Linked DNA regions of Kluyveromyces lactis. The protein of the gene in region 1 interacts with the protein of each later gene in a pairwise test. Links are inferred from orthologs where the notes say so. Each region holds a gene or a part of one and is shown on either strand. Other genes may lie near its edges.

Region 1 (6,743 bases):
CGTCGCAGTCTGCCACGGCAGCCATGAAGCTAAAAACAATCAATGCTCAAGGTGAAGAAATTACAGTGGTGTCATCCAGCAATTATGAGTCCCAATCTTTCAGTTCGAAAAATGCTTGGCGGTCAAATGCAATCTCCAATTCATTGCTACATTTGAAGCTTAAGAACATATATGTTACTGCCGAAGATTTTGTAGAAGATAAAGATGTCCTCGTATTCCCACGGAACTTGTTGAAGAAGTTTGTCACAATAGCTGATGTCGATGTCCAAATTGCAGGGTATATGTACGGGTCACCTGTAAAAGATCACCCTAATGTGAAGGAAATTAAGACGATAGCACTTGTCCCTCAACTCGGCAGTTCCGCAACTGTTCGCATATCTCCTCCCCCCTCATCTTCCAAATATCTCAACGACATGGAACTGTTGGGATGGATACATACCCAAAAAGTCGATTCCAAATTCATGTCACCATCTGAAGTGATCACTCATTCCAAAATGTTTTCAGATCATAACGAAAGTGCTGTTGATTTGTGCATAAATCTAATCCCAGGTGCCGTATCAATTACAGGATATACGTTAAGCACTACGGGTTTCAACTGGGGCTTACAATCGAAAGACATAACGGACCCTTCACCAGAAGGGTTTGAAGCTTCATTTAGCGAGACTGCACAGATTTTATTATCTGAACGCATTATGGGCAATTTCTTGGTACCTTCGTCATCGATATGGAATTACGCTTTCATGGGAACTGCTTTTAGCGAAGATCTACCTTACGAATTGAAATTAGACATCCCACTAGAGTTCTATAATGAACTCCATCGTGCTCCTCACTTCATACAATTCTCTGAACTTGCTGGAGATGAGGAATTAGAACCGGATCAAGAAAATCTATTCGCTTAAGCGAAGGAGAATACAGATAATTTCTCTATAATTGTTATATATTTTTTTAAAACCATTTTACATTTATATTAGGCATCTGACCTGCATTTGCCCTTACATCAACCGTATAAGACGGTTTGGAATGGCGTTTTAGGCTCTACGATTTTCATATTATCATAAAAGTGAAGTAGTCATAATGTGCTTGTTCCATCTGACTTCCAAACTTTCACGTGACTTCTCTCTGAGAGGTAATACTGAATATTTAAAAAGTAGACAAGGAACTTCGTCCCTTGAAGATATTGCACATCGACTCTCCGATGGAGACGGTTAAACAAACAGTTTAACCAAAGTGATTATTGGTGCATATTGGAAGAAACTAGTTACTTTCAATAAAGGAAGCCGTGAAATAATAATGGCGCGAACAACTACCAAGAGAAATGTCTCTGCAGCAACACGACCACAAAGAAAGAATCCATTGAGATTTAAACCAGGTAACTCTGGACCGAAATATAACAGGCCCAACGCAGCAGGTCCTAAAAAAACGGATCATATGATAGCTGCAACTTCTACTAACGCGAATCAAACATCTAACTCTGATAAATCTTCTAAATTTCTCCCAATGTCTGGTCATGAAATGAACGCAGCTAAGTACATTATGGAACTAACGAGATTAGGTTACTCGTTTGACAAAGTACAAAAAGGCTCCAAATCAAATTACAACTTTCTATCAAAAATGTATAATGCCCTTAGACTACCCGTTAATATTGACTCTGGTGACATATCGTCAAATGAAGAGAATGATGTGAAAATAGCAGTTAAAGAGAATTTACTTACAAAGCCAACTGCTTTCCAAAATTCTATTGAAAAGCAAGAGACACCAAAGCTATCACAAAATGAAACCGAAGCCACAGAATTTAATCAAAGTACCTCTGCACCAAATGTTTCTAATACTAAAAATAGGTCGTTCGCACTGCCAGAGGAACGGGAACTAACGGCAATCGATTCAATTGCATCAGAAATGAATGAAGAAAAGCTTGGAATGGCATTATATGAGCAGACATCCCGTATACTCATGAAGACGAGGCTAAATTTACTGAAGCTAAAGGCTGCAGCAAACAAAAGAGTACCGAAGTTTAGCAAAGAACTGGAAGCGTCTCTCAAAAAGAAGAAAGATTTACTGATTTCAGATATTGAAAGTTTCTATTCCACAATTGGGTTACGAGATGAGTTCGCTCCAGGAATGAACGATGATTTCATCGAATTGGGAGATTCTTTTATGGATAAAAGCAACCACGACGAACATATAGTCAATGATGAAAACGAACTGCCGAAACGTCTACAAAGTCCGGATCAACATATCAGTATGGCGAACTCTAAAACTTATCAACTCAATCTCAATCAAGCTAGTAACGGCCTAGTAGAACCATCCACAATCATACAGGACAGTGTCATTAAATTAAAGAAGTCTACACCAGATCACTTTACCCCGTATCAATCCCTCAATTTAACGAAAAGAACTCAACCTAATACTTAATACTAACGCGTTCGTACGTAAAATTCTGACGTATCAACTCACCGTTTCCGTTCATTATCATGACGTTTATCAAACAATATAATTTATAAAGGAATGCACGAAAATGCATCAATATTTGTGAGAGGACCAAAGTGTCGGTTCTATACATCCAATGTAAGTCGTACCCTAGCCCTGCGATTGCCTTTTGCCATGCGCAATGTTTTGGTTTGGAATCAGAAAATGTTGATCTCTAAAAAACGTAAATATTAAAACAATACACATAAATATATCGCGAATAAGAAGAACTATTTGAATATCTTCAAACGCGAAGAGAGAAAAGCCCAACTGCCAATCAGTCAACTTTAGGATTAGTGAATTGGTGGTAACCCAAATGGTGGGGATTCAAGAAGCAGAAAAAGAAGCATACTGTTGTACAAACTCAATAGCAATAAGGCTTTGAATTCTTTACTGGAAACACGATGGTTTCTACCCCAAAGAAAAAACGTACCGCCAGTGTTTCTATATCGCCATTTAAGAAGGATACGGATGCTATTTCAGTGGATTATAAAGGGAAACCTAAAAAGAAACCAAGTAAATCTTACCATTTTGCCCCCCTGAACCGGCTTAGCAGTGAAGAACCAATTTTGAAATCGATACCGATCTCAAGAGTACGAAATGTGGAAGCTGGAAGTTCCGTCAAAGATACTGTCAATGCGAAAACTAGTGGCAAAACAAAGCTTGCATCTAAAAGAATTATCAATAGCACAAAGACTAGAAGGGAAAAATCGACTGAAGCTGTGCCAGAAACGAGGTATAGCGATGGTCCGTCGGAAGAAGTAATATGGAGATACTCTCCTAGGAAAATTGATGAGCAATTATGTAACCATTATAATACTGGAAACGACGATAATAACTCCGATGAATTAAGTCAAGATATGCCTCTAGGTCAATCTTCTACTCCATTGATCAACGATAAGTTTAAAGATGTGATTGATTTTGAGAACATGGATCCCAACAGCATTGATAAAGAATGCAGGAAAATTGCACAAGGATCTCCTGTAAAAAGAGGAGAAAAGGATGTCACACCTATGAGAGATATACACGAAATTTTAAACGACTTAGAAGGTCCTAAGTTGCTTCCGCCTTCTTCACCAATTTGCTCGGAACCAGTTGTTATAGACGATGACCCTGTAGAAAATCTTCCGGAGCTGGCATCAGAGAGTATTTCAAATCATAAGCATACTACAACTAATGGCATAGAACGCACGTTCACAATGTATCCTCCTCAGATCAATATAGATGACGACGAGGATGAGGACGATTCGTTAATTGATATTCTCACACAAAGATTCACAAAGCCAGTCATCACAGAATGCAATGAAGAATCAGAGGAATCAGATGCTTCCTTATTAGAACTTCTTGATGAGGAAAAGCCAGCTACACTCCCTCAACTTCAAGTGAGAAAAATTGAACGCATTGAAGTTATGCTTGAATCAGAGGATGAAAATGTGGAAGACTCTGTAAAATCAAATGAAAATCAAACCGATCATCTGCTTAATAACAAAGCCGATGTGGTTGAAAGGTATGTTAACTTGGCTAAATTCCCATTCCCTCAACGCGGCTGTCAAAGACTATGTATTTTTGAAATCAAGGAAATGAAATCACCAGCGCAAATAATTCTCACATGCTTCAATCAGGATGCTGGAAAAGTTAACCTAATTCTCAGAGATCCATGGATTCGTTTCAGATACGAGCAAGGAATGATTATTCACCTAATAGAAGGTGACCACTTTCCTAATAAACGGCTTCTTTCAAATGACAAAGACCCTAAAACAGGCCTCGAAAATGATAATTTATTGATCGTGTATCCGGATGTTCTTCTTTCTGCCACTGCAATTGGGACTGCCATGGATTGCGAAAGGCGTGCCGTTTTATCTTCAAAATTTAATGAACCCGGTGAATACTCGCTTGCAGCTGTCTTAGGTAACATTATTCACGCGTTGGTCCAGGAAGTGTTAAAATTGAAGCTGTTGGAGCCGAATCAGTTTCTCTCAAAAGGCTTAGCTCTCGAAATTCTGGACAAAGTCATAAAACCATTCACTACGGAGGTGAATATGTGTGGAGAATCTGTCGAATCAGTGATTAAAACGATTTCAGATGAGCATTTACCTTTTATCATAGAATTTGTGAACATTTATGTCACTAAGGACAATTCAAGGTCCTGGATTCAAGTAATTGGAACAAAAAATAAACGTAAATTATCTGTTTCTCAGATCGTTGATATTGAAGAGAACATTTGGTCATCAAAGTATGGATTGAAAGGATATATAGATGTCACTGTTGAGACGAATGTTGATTCAGACGGTAAAAAGTTGTTAGCTCCCGTGGAGATAAAGACAGGGAAATGGAAATCTAATGCACACGAGGCACAGGGTCTAATTTATACATTGCTTCTCCAGGATAGATATGACATCCCTGTAAATTTGCACATGATGTTGTATACTAAGCTAAGAGAGTTCTCATTACAACCCAAAATTTTAATATCGCTAAAGCATCTGCTTAACCTCAGAAATAAACTTGCGACATACCTACAAGTAATGAATGAAGAGATGTCTGATTGGGGTGGACCACAACATGAATTACCCGCAATGATACAGAACTCCAAGTGCGATCAATGTTTCATGAAGACATCTTGCATGGTGCTCAACAAGTTAAGTGACAAAGAACAAACGCCAGGATTGCTAAAGCATGAATATACTGATTTAACCAGACATCTTGAAGCACAAGGCTCACAGGTCCTAGAGCTCTTTCGGTCGTTTTACGGCAAGTACGATAGGCTTTTAATGATGGAAGAAACTAGCATAACAAGTGTCACTAAAGATACTTTCCTTATGTCGGGCACAGATCGAGAGGCTCAAACAGGACATTGCATAAGTCAGCTTACCATAAAGAATGTACAGGATCAGGGAAACGGGAGATATCTGTACACTTTCTGCCGCGAAAACGATATTCAAGGGTCATTTGCCACTTCCAATGCAGAACAACAGGAGACCAAGAAACTCAAGAGCGCTCCACCTAGCATGCTCTCGTCAGATATCCATAAAGGAGATTATATAATGATCAGTAACGACACCTCTGGCCAGTTAGCCATTGGAACTGGTCATGTCTCTGAAATCGCTAACGATTTCATTGTGATAAATTGTGCGAGAAACATTCTGGCAAACAATATTCATGGTGATTCTTTTGATAGAAATACGAGACAAGTAGTTCGAAGTGTTTTACTTAAACAAAAAGAGCCATTGAACGAGAAACAAAGCTTGACAAATAGTCACCGATATCGTATTGATAAAAATGAGAGTGCTACAGGACTTACTTTGGCTCGTTACAACCTTCTAAATCTCTTTCTTCCAGAAGTCCTTATTGAAGCTGAATTCTCACCGCAAAAATCTGGAGAAAAATTACAGCTTCCTGTTAAAAGATCTCTTGGGGGTTACAGCAGGGGTCGTAGGCTCATTGTAGAGCTTTCCGAACCGAAATGGACGACTCATGCGGCCAGAATACCAACTCTTAATGACAGCTTTAATGAAAACCAGAAAATGGCGATTGAACGTTCGCTCACCTGCCGTGACTACAACTTGATTTTAGGAATGCCTGGAACTGGTAAGACATCAGTTATTTGTGAATTAGTTTCAATATTGGTAAATCAGGGAAAATCTGTCATGGTGACAAGCTACACCAATTCAGCTGTCGATAATATTATAATGAAGCTAACTTCGCGTATCCCTCGCTCTAAGATGGTACGTTTGGGATCTGGACGTCGAGTCCATGATTTGGTCAAACCATATTGCATAACAGAGATGTTAGATGGTGATAACGAGAACTTGTCGGAAATAATCGATGCAGCACAAGTGGTCGGTGTAACGTGTCTCGGTATTAATGATCCGTGGTTACAAATGCGAAATGGTGATTTTGATTATGTTATATTAGATGAAGCCAGTCAAGTTTCGCTACCTGTCGCCATTGGTCCATTAAGGTTCGGATATAAGTTCATATTAGTCGGAGACCATTATCAATTACCGCCATTAGTGAAGAACTCATTTGCACGTGACAATGGTCTACAAGAATCGTTATTCGAAAAATTGTGTCATTCGCATCCTCAAAGCGTTGTTGAACTACAATTACAATACCGTATGAATGCAGAGATCATGTCTCTTTCCAACGTGTTGATATACGGAGGAAAGTTACAATGTGGTACTGACGAAATCCGCAGACAAGTCTTACAATTCCCAAACAACTATAAATGCTCACAGGACACATGGCTGCAGAAGGCTATCAATCCCGAACAACCTGTG
Region 2 (5,421 bases), on another chromosome or scaffold:
CTCTGGTAGCCATTTTAAGAGCTTCCGCGACTCTGTCTCTTTCTCTTCTGTGGAGCTGTCTCTTGGAATCGGGTACACCGACGTCTAAACTTTCATCGTCTTGCACTTGTTCTAGCGTACGTTTCAGATCCTCGGTATCGTGGTTTTCTCTAGACTGCAGAGCCGCTGCAGCGGCAGCTGCAGCAGCTGCGACACGTACGTTAGTGTCATCCAGATTATGTATAGCGGAATCATCATTATCACTGATCGAACCAATTCTGTTCTGATATACATTATGTCCACTATCAACATGTGATTGGTGTTGTTCCTGGTGTTGTAGTTGTTGCTGTTGCTGTTGGTGATGATGCTGAACGTCGCGTTGTTGACCTTCGGGTAGTTGGTGTTGGTGGTGAGCTGGTATCGATGGATGATGATGGTGTTGTACTTGATGGTGGTCACCGCCAGTCAATTGATGAGCGGTGGGCATTGCGTATACGCCATCCTTCTTTCTTTTCAAGACGAATCTGGCCTTATACGTGGTAACACGTCTAGCGATGTTACTTAACATTTTCTTATCCATTTCAGCTTCGGTCAACCCGTACCGTTGCTTGATGATATCGAGAATCCCGGATTCTTCCACGTACTGTGCCACTCTAAACTTTGCCACTGTATTATCGTCATCGTTACACAACGACTCTAGAATAGCGTCGAATTTGAGATCAACTTGTAAAATCTTTGGAATTTTACTCAAGACAAACCGTTGCAAAGAAAGGTTTGATTCCAACGGATGGTTATGATAAGGTTCAATCTTGGTTACCACGAAGGGACCCTTGATAGTCTCCTGAGAGTCTGCAACTGCTGCAACTGCCGCTGCGATAGCAGCAGTCACAGCCGCATCATCATCCTCATCATCGTCCTCATCCTCCGCTCTACCATCTTCGGCCAAATTCGTATGACCATTATGGTGATTCGAACCAGACGACGAAGAACCACCATCGCCACTTAAACCATGCGGAGAACCATCCTCAGACGAACCAGAATTGTTGGCGCCCTGATACGACAACAAAATCTTGAACGGACAACTTTTCAAATGGCACGCGAAAGTGAAATGTTTATTCTTATGTGAATTCTTCAAAATAATAGGACATCTCGATTGAAACTCATAATCGTTAATTACATCGTACCACGCCTCTAACGTGGGGAAAGACCGTTTCTGCGCACTCACAGGATCTGGCGCAGCCAGATCCTTATTGATGATCGGGTGCTTGTATTCATATAACGACATCGCTGGATTCGAAACTCGCCAATTCACGCACAAAAAGGTATACCTTTTCTGAAGCTCTCTGTTATCTTTTAAATAATCCTCTTCGTCACCCAGTGCACTGCACTCGCTCCGTTTACTCTCTGCCCTATCTCACTTAGCCGCCGTGCCTTCACAGAATAGGTACGTTCTTACGGTATTATTTCGTTTATACCAATCGACGAAACAATGAACCTTTCGCCTAAATCCTTGGGCCTGCCGGCTTCCCTTTCGTGATTGTTGACACTTTCATCTCAAATCCTGTTCGTTCGTTGTTATATTTTTTTTTTTTTCATTTTTTTTCCATGTGGACTGACCCACTTGAAGGCGTTGGTGAGGTTACCCTGGATATTAGTACGCTGATTCCGGGTAACACATATTTCAGTGAAGAATGATAAATGGTTGCACGTGATAGTGATTATGAAATGAGTGTCACGTGATATATTATAATTATTATCATTATTTTCTTCTCTCTGCTTTTTCGCTCCAGCGTCCATTGAGACGTATAATGGATAGTGAAAAATTACAGGCCATCAGCAAGGGACGCGTCTTGTCAGCTTTAATAAAGTGGTAGTATACCTCAAACTTCTGAATATAATTGAACAACTACAGCCTCTGTAAAAAAGGCCGGTATTTTTTTCAAACCAGTTATCATGGGTATCAAAAATTTAGCTACACTTATTTCTGAGCAAGTACCGAATGCTATTAAGAGCAGAGATATAAAGTATTTCCATGGAAGAAAAGTAGCCATCGATGCCTCGATGTCTCTTTATCAATTTCTCATTGCTGTGAGACAGCAGGATGGGGTTCAGCTCGCTGGTGAAGATGGAGAAACGACGTCGCATCTTATGGGTATGTTCTACCGTACGTTGCGCATGATTGATCATGGAATAAAACCATGTTATGTGTTCGATGGAAGTCCACCAGAACTTAAGAAATACGAATTGGATAAACGTAAGGTGAGACGTGAGGATACCGAGGCTAAGTTGAAAGAAGCCACGGAACAGGCAGAAATTATCAAACATGAAAGAAGACTCGTGAAAGTTTTGCCATGGCATAATGAGGAAGCTCAGAAGTTGTTATCTCTTATGGGTATTCCTTACGTTGTGGCACCTGCAGAAGCTGAGGCGCAATGTGCAGAGCTTGCTAAATCAGGGAAAGTGTTTGCAGCTGCCAGTGAAGATATGGATACATTATGCTATCAAACGCCAGTTTTATTGAGACATTTGACTTTCAGTGAGGCCAGAAAACTTCCAATCCAAGAATTTGACACTGATGTGATTTACAACACTTTGGACTTGACTCAGACGCAATTCATTGATTTAGGTATCATTCTAGGGTGTGATTATTGTGAAGGAATCAAGGGTGTAGGCCCTGTCAATGCATTGAAATTGATTAAAGAACACGGTTCCCTGGAAGCCATCGTAGAGAAATTCGAAAATGGAGACATCAGTAGTGGCAGATGGAAAATCCCTGAAGGTTGGCAATTCAAAGAAGCGCGTGATTTATTCATGCAACCAGATGTTATTCCAAGTGAGGAAGTGACGTTGAAATGGGAGGAACCTAAAGCCGAGGAATTGATTGAATTTATGGTTAAAGAAAAAGGGTTCAATGAAGACAGAATTAAATCAGGTATTGAAAGATTACGCAAGGGTTTGAAAGTCGGCGTACAGAAAAGACTTGACTCATTCTTCAAAATTCAACCGAAAACTAAGGAAGAGCTAGCAACCGCTGCTAAAAAGGCAAAGGATGCAAAGAAAAAGGCTGCTGCTAAAGGTAAGATTGCCAAGAGACGTTAAGTTTTATTGTTTTATCTTAGGTTAGACTGTTTACATTACATTACCATCAATTACATAGTTAATTCAAAATCATTGAAAAGTTATAGTAAAAAGGAACTGAAAATTATTCCAGTTCGTCAGACGTTCATTAACCGATAATATAAATAAATATGGGATGATATTCCTCTAACCATGTATAACTAGCAAGGTAAGTGGTTTATTCCAACTGATAACATACATTTGTCCATAAATGTGTATCATATACATATATATATAGAATGAACCAGCGCATAAACTGTATTGTTACGAGTCAATGTTCGAGATGTTATATGTCTCCAAAATTCAATTAATTGATTTCAAAAACTACGTAATTGCCTACAGTGAGAACTATGTTATATATTATCGATAATGTACAAATACTAGTATTTATTGCAAATGCTAAAACAAAGGTTCTTTGCCAACGACTCTGTCTATTAATATGCGCACGGTAAGTGAACAAAAGAAGGAAGAGCAAATTTTGTTATGTGTATGGAAGGTGAGTGCTACAATTAGAAACTGACCTTATCTGCTGAACGAAGAATGAAAATGTTTACTGGCGTAAACGTTCAGAGTGGTACTTGGTTTCTTTAACTAACTTGATGGCAACTTCTTCTAACTTTGTGATTTCTTCGCCTCTTTCGAAGATAATGTATTCGTTATTTTCATCCAATTTGGCTTTAACTTCGTAATCATTGATGATGTTTTGTGCTACAGCCAAAACCTTTTCGATATCAAGATCAAACAATTTCGATAATTTAGAAATGGATATTTTAGAGTAGAATCTCTTGTAAGTGAAAATGTAAGTTTTCAAAGTTTCAATTTGAACCTTTTCACTTAGTTGGTTGATGATATCATCAGATTTACTCAACAAAGACCACACAGAAATTTTCCTCAAATATTCGATCGATTGTAAGTAATCACCCTTTTGCATTGACTTTGCAGCATAAAGAATGTGATCTCTTAGAGTTTCTGGAGGACCATGGAAAATAGCTTTCTCTGAACTCTCTAGAATACGGCGGATAGATTTTTGGAAAACTGGGATTCTCTTGACCTTAATACCGCTGTAATAAGCTGCCATGTGAGGCACATCAAGTAATAAAGAACATGTCATGTAGACGGTGTCAATTAGATCCAAGTTGATGTGTTGATGGAAAGGAAGACATAATTGTTCAACAGGGGCACCCTGCACGACATTGCTGTTCGCATTAGCTCTTTGTAAACTTTGTTGACCCAAAATTTCTCTTAGATGTGGATTAATACAAAGACCGTTCAAAACTTGGTGACATTCATTTATTAAACCAGCCTTAAATGCAGCCAAACCAAGTTGAATAACACATCTATTGTACAAAATTTGTAATGCTGCATCAGAGCCTGAAATGAATTTAGCAATATCGGAAGAAAGCATTATTTTCTTTGCTGGAGCGTATTCTTGGTTCAATGCAATATAATATGTTTTGTACAAGGTACCTTTTCTGTAGTTGAACACGTTGTTACTCTTTTGTTTAATTAAGAAATCGGACAATTCAGAGATGACCTTGAAGTTGTAATCGGCATCTGCGGAATCTGATTCATTCAAACGAACGAAAGAGGATTCAAGGGACGCAGTTCCTTCACGAATTTGTTTCCATGCAACGGTTTCCATAATAGAGATGAGCTTGTCGGACTTGTAGTAGATATGTTCAAGTCTTCTGTTGAAGACACGGGCCAAAAGTCTATCGCGGTGTTCTTCTGCAGTTACACGTTCAAAGTACAATTGGGATCTGATAATCAAATTGTAAATAGATTGTTCATCTCTCAAACGTTCCATGTATTCACTGGAACGAGTGTCAATGTTCAAAAGGGATTTGCTAAATTCATCGTCCAATCTTTCAACCATAGAGAAGATAGAACCCAAAATTTCCTTGACACCATGCTCATTAGCTTCTGGTTCATCTTCAATGAAATCATTTCTTGGGGCAAATTCAGTAACTTGATAGTGGTCGATCTCTTGTTCCAGCACTTCCAATAAACCATCCAAGTTATCCTTTGATGCTTTCCATTGTTCTAGTGGTTGGTATGATAAGGATACAGATGCATCGAATCTGATTGGAATCAAGTTCAAGTATGTACAGATCTTTTCATATGGAGTCTTGGCAATCTTCAATAGTTCTTCGGTGGTTTTAATTTGTTCTGTGTGGTCAGTGTTTTTCTTACCTCTAGAATCGATGATAATATTCAACGTCTTGAAAAAGTCTAGCTCAGAAATGTTATTTGCCACGGATGCCAAGTCTAAATTCTTCTTACCACTCAAGGAGAATGGAGTAGCAGAGACATCTCTTGAGTCTA

Evidence for each region. The genes of interacting proteins can lie anywhere in the genome.
Region 2: the proteins of DNA2 (region 1) and RAD27 interact in binary tests that used the Saccharomyces cerevisiae proteins (3 or more experiments, as listed by UniProt). The link is inferred for Kluyveromyces lactis from reciprocal best matches to the Saccharomyces cerevisiae genes DNA2 and RAD27.

What each region holds. Positions count from the first base shown.
Region 1 is NC_006037.1:475,467-482,209, forward strand, and holds the start of DNA2 (bifunctional ATP-dependent DNA helicase/ssDNA endodeoxyribonuclease DNA2), read left to right. Parts: upstream 1-2,870; coding exon 2,871-6,743. Other genes in the region: U4/U6-U5 snRNP complex subunit PRP8, read left to right, coding at 1-899; KLLA0_A05302g (uncharacterized protein), read left to right, coding at 1,291-2,412. UniProt on the Saccharomyces cerevisiae protein: Key enzyme involved in DNA replication and DNA repair.
Region 2 is NC_006042.1:276,509-281,929, forward strand, and holds RAD27 (multifunctional nuclease RAD27), read left to right. Parts: upstream 1-1,932; coding exon 1,933-3,078; downstream 3,079-5,421. Other genes in the region: DNA-binding protein ABF1, read right to left, coding at 1-1,264; NIP1 (translation initiation factor eIF3 core subunit c), read right to left, coding at 3,647-5,421. UniProt on the Saccharomyces cerevisiae protein: Structure-specific nuclease with 5'-flap endonuclease and 5'-3' exonuclease activities involved in DNA replication and repair.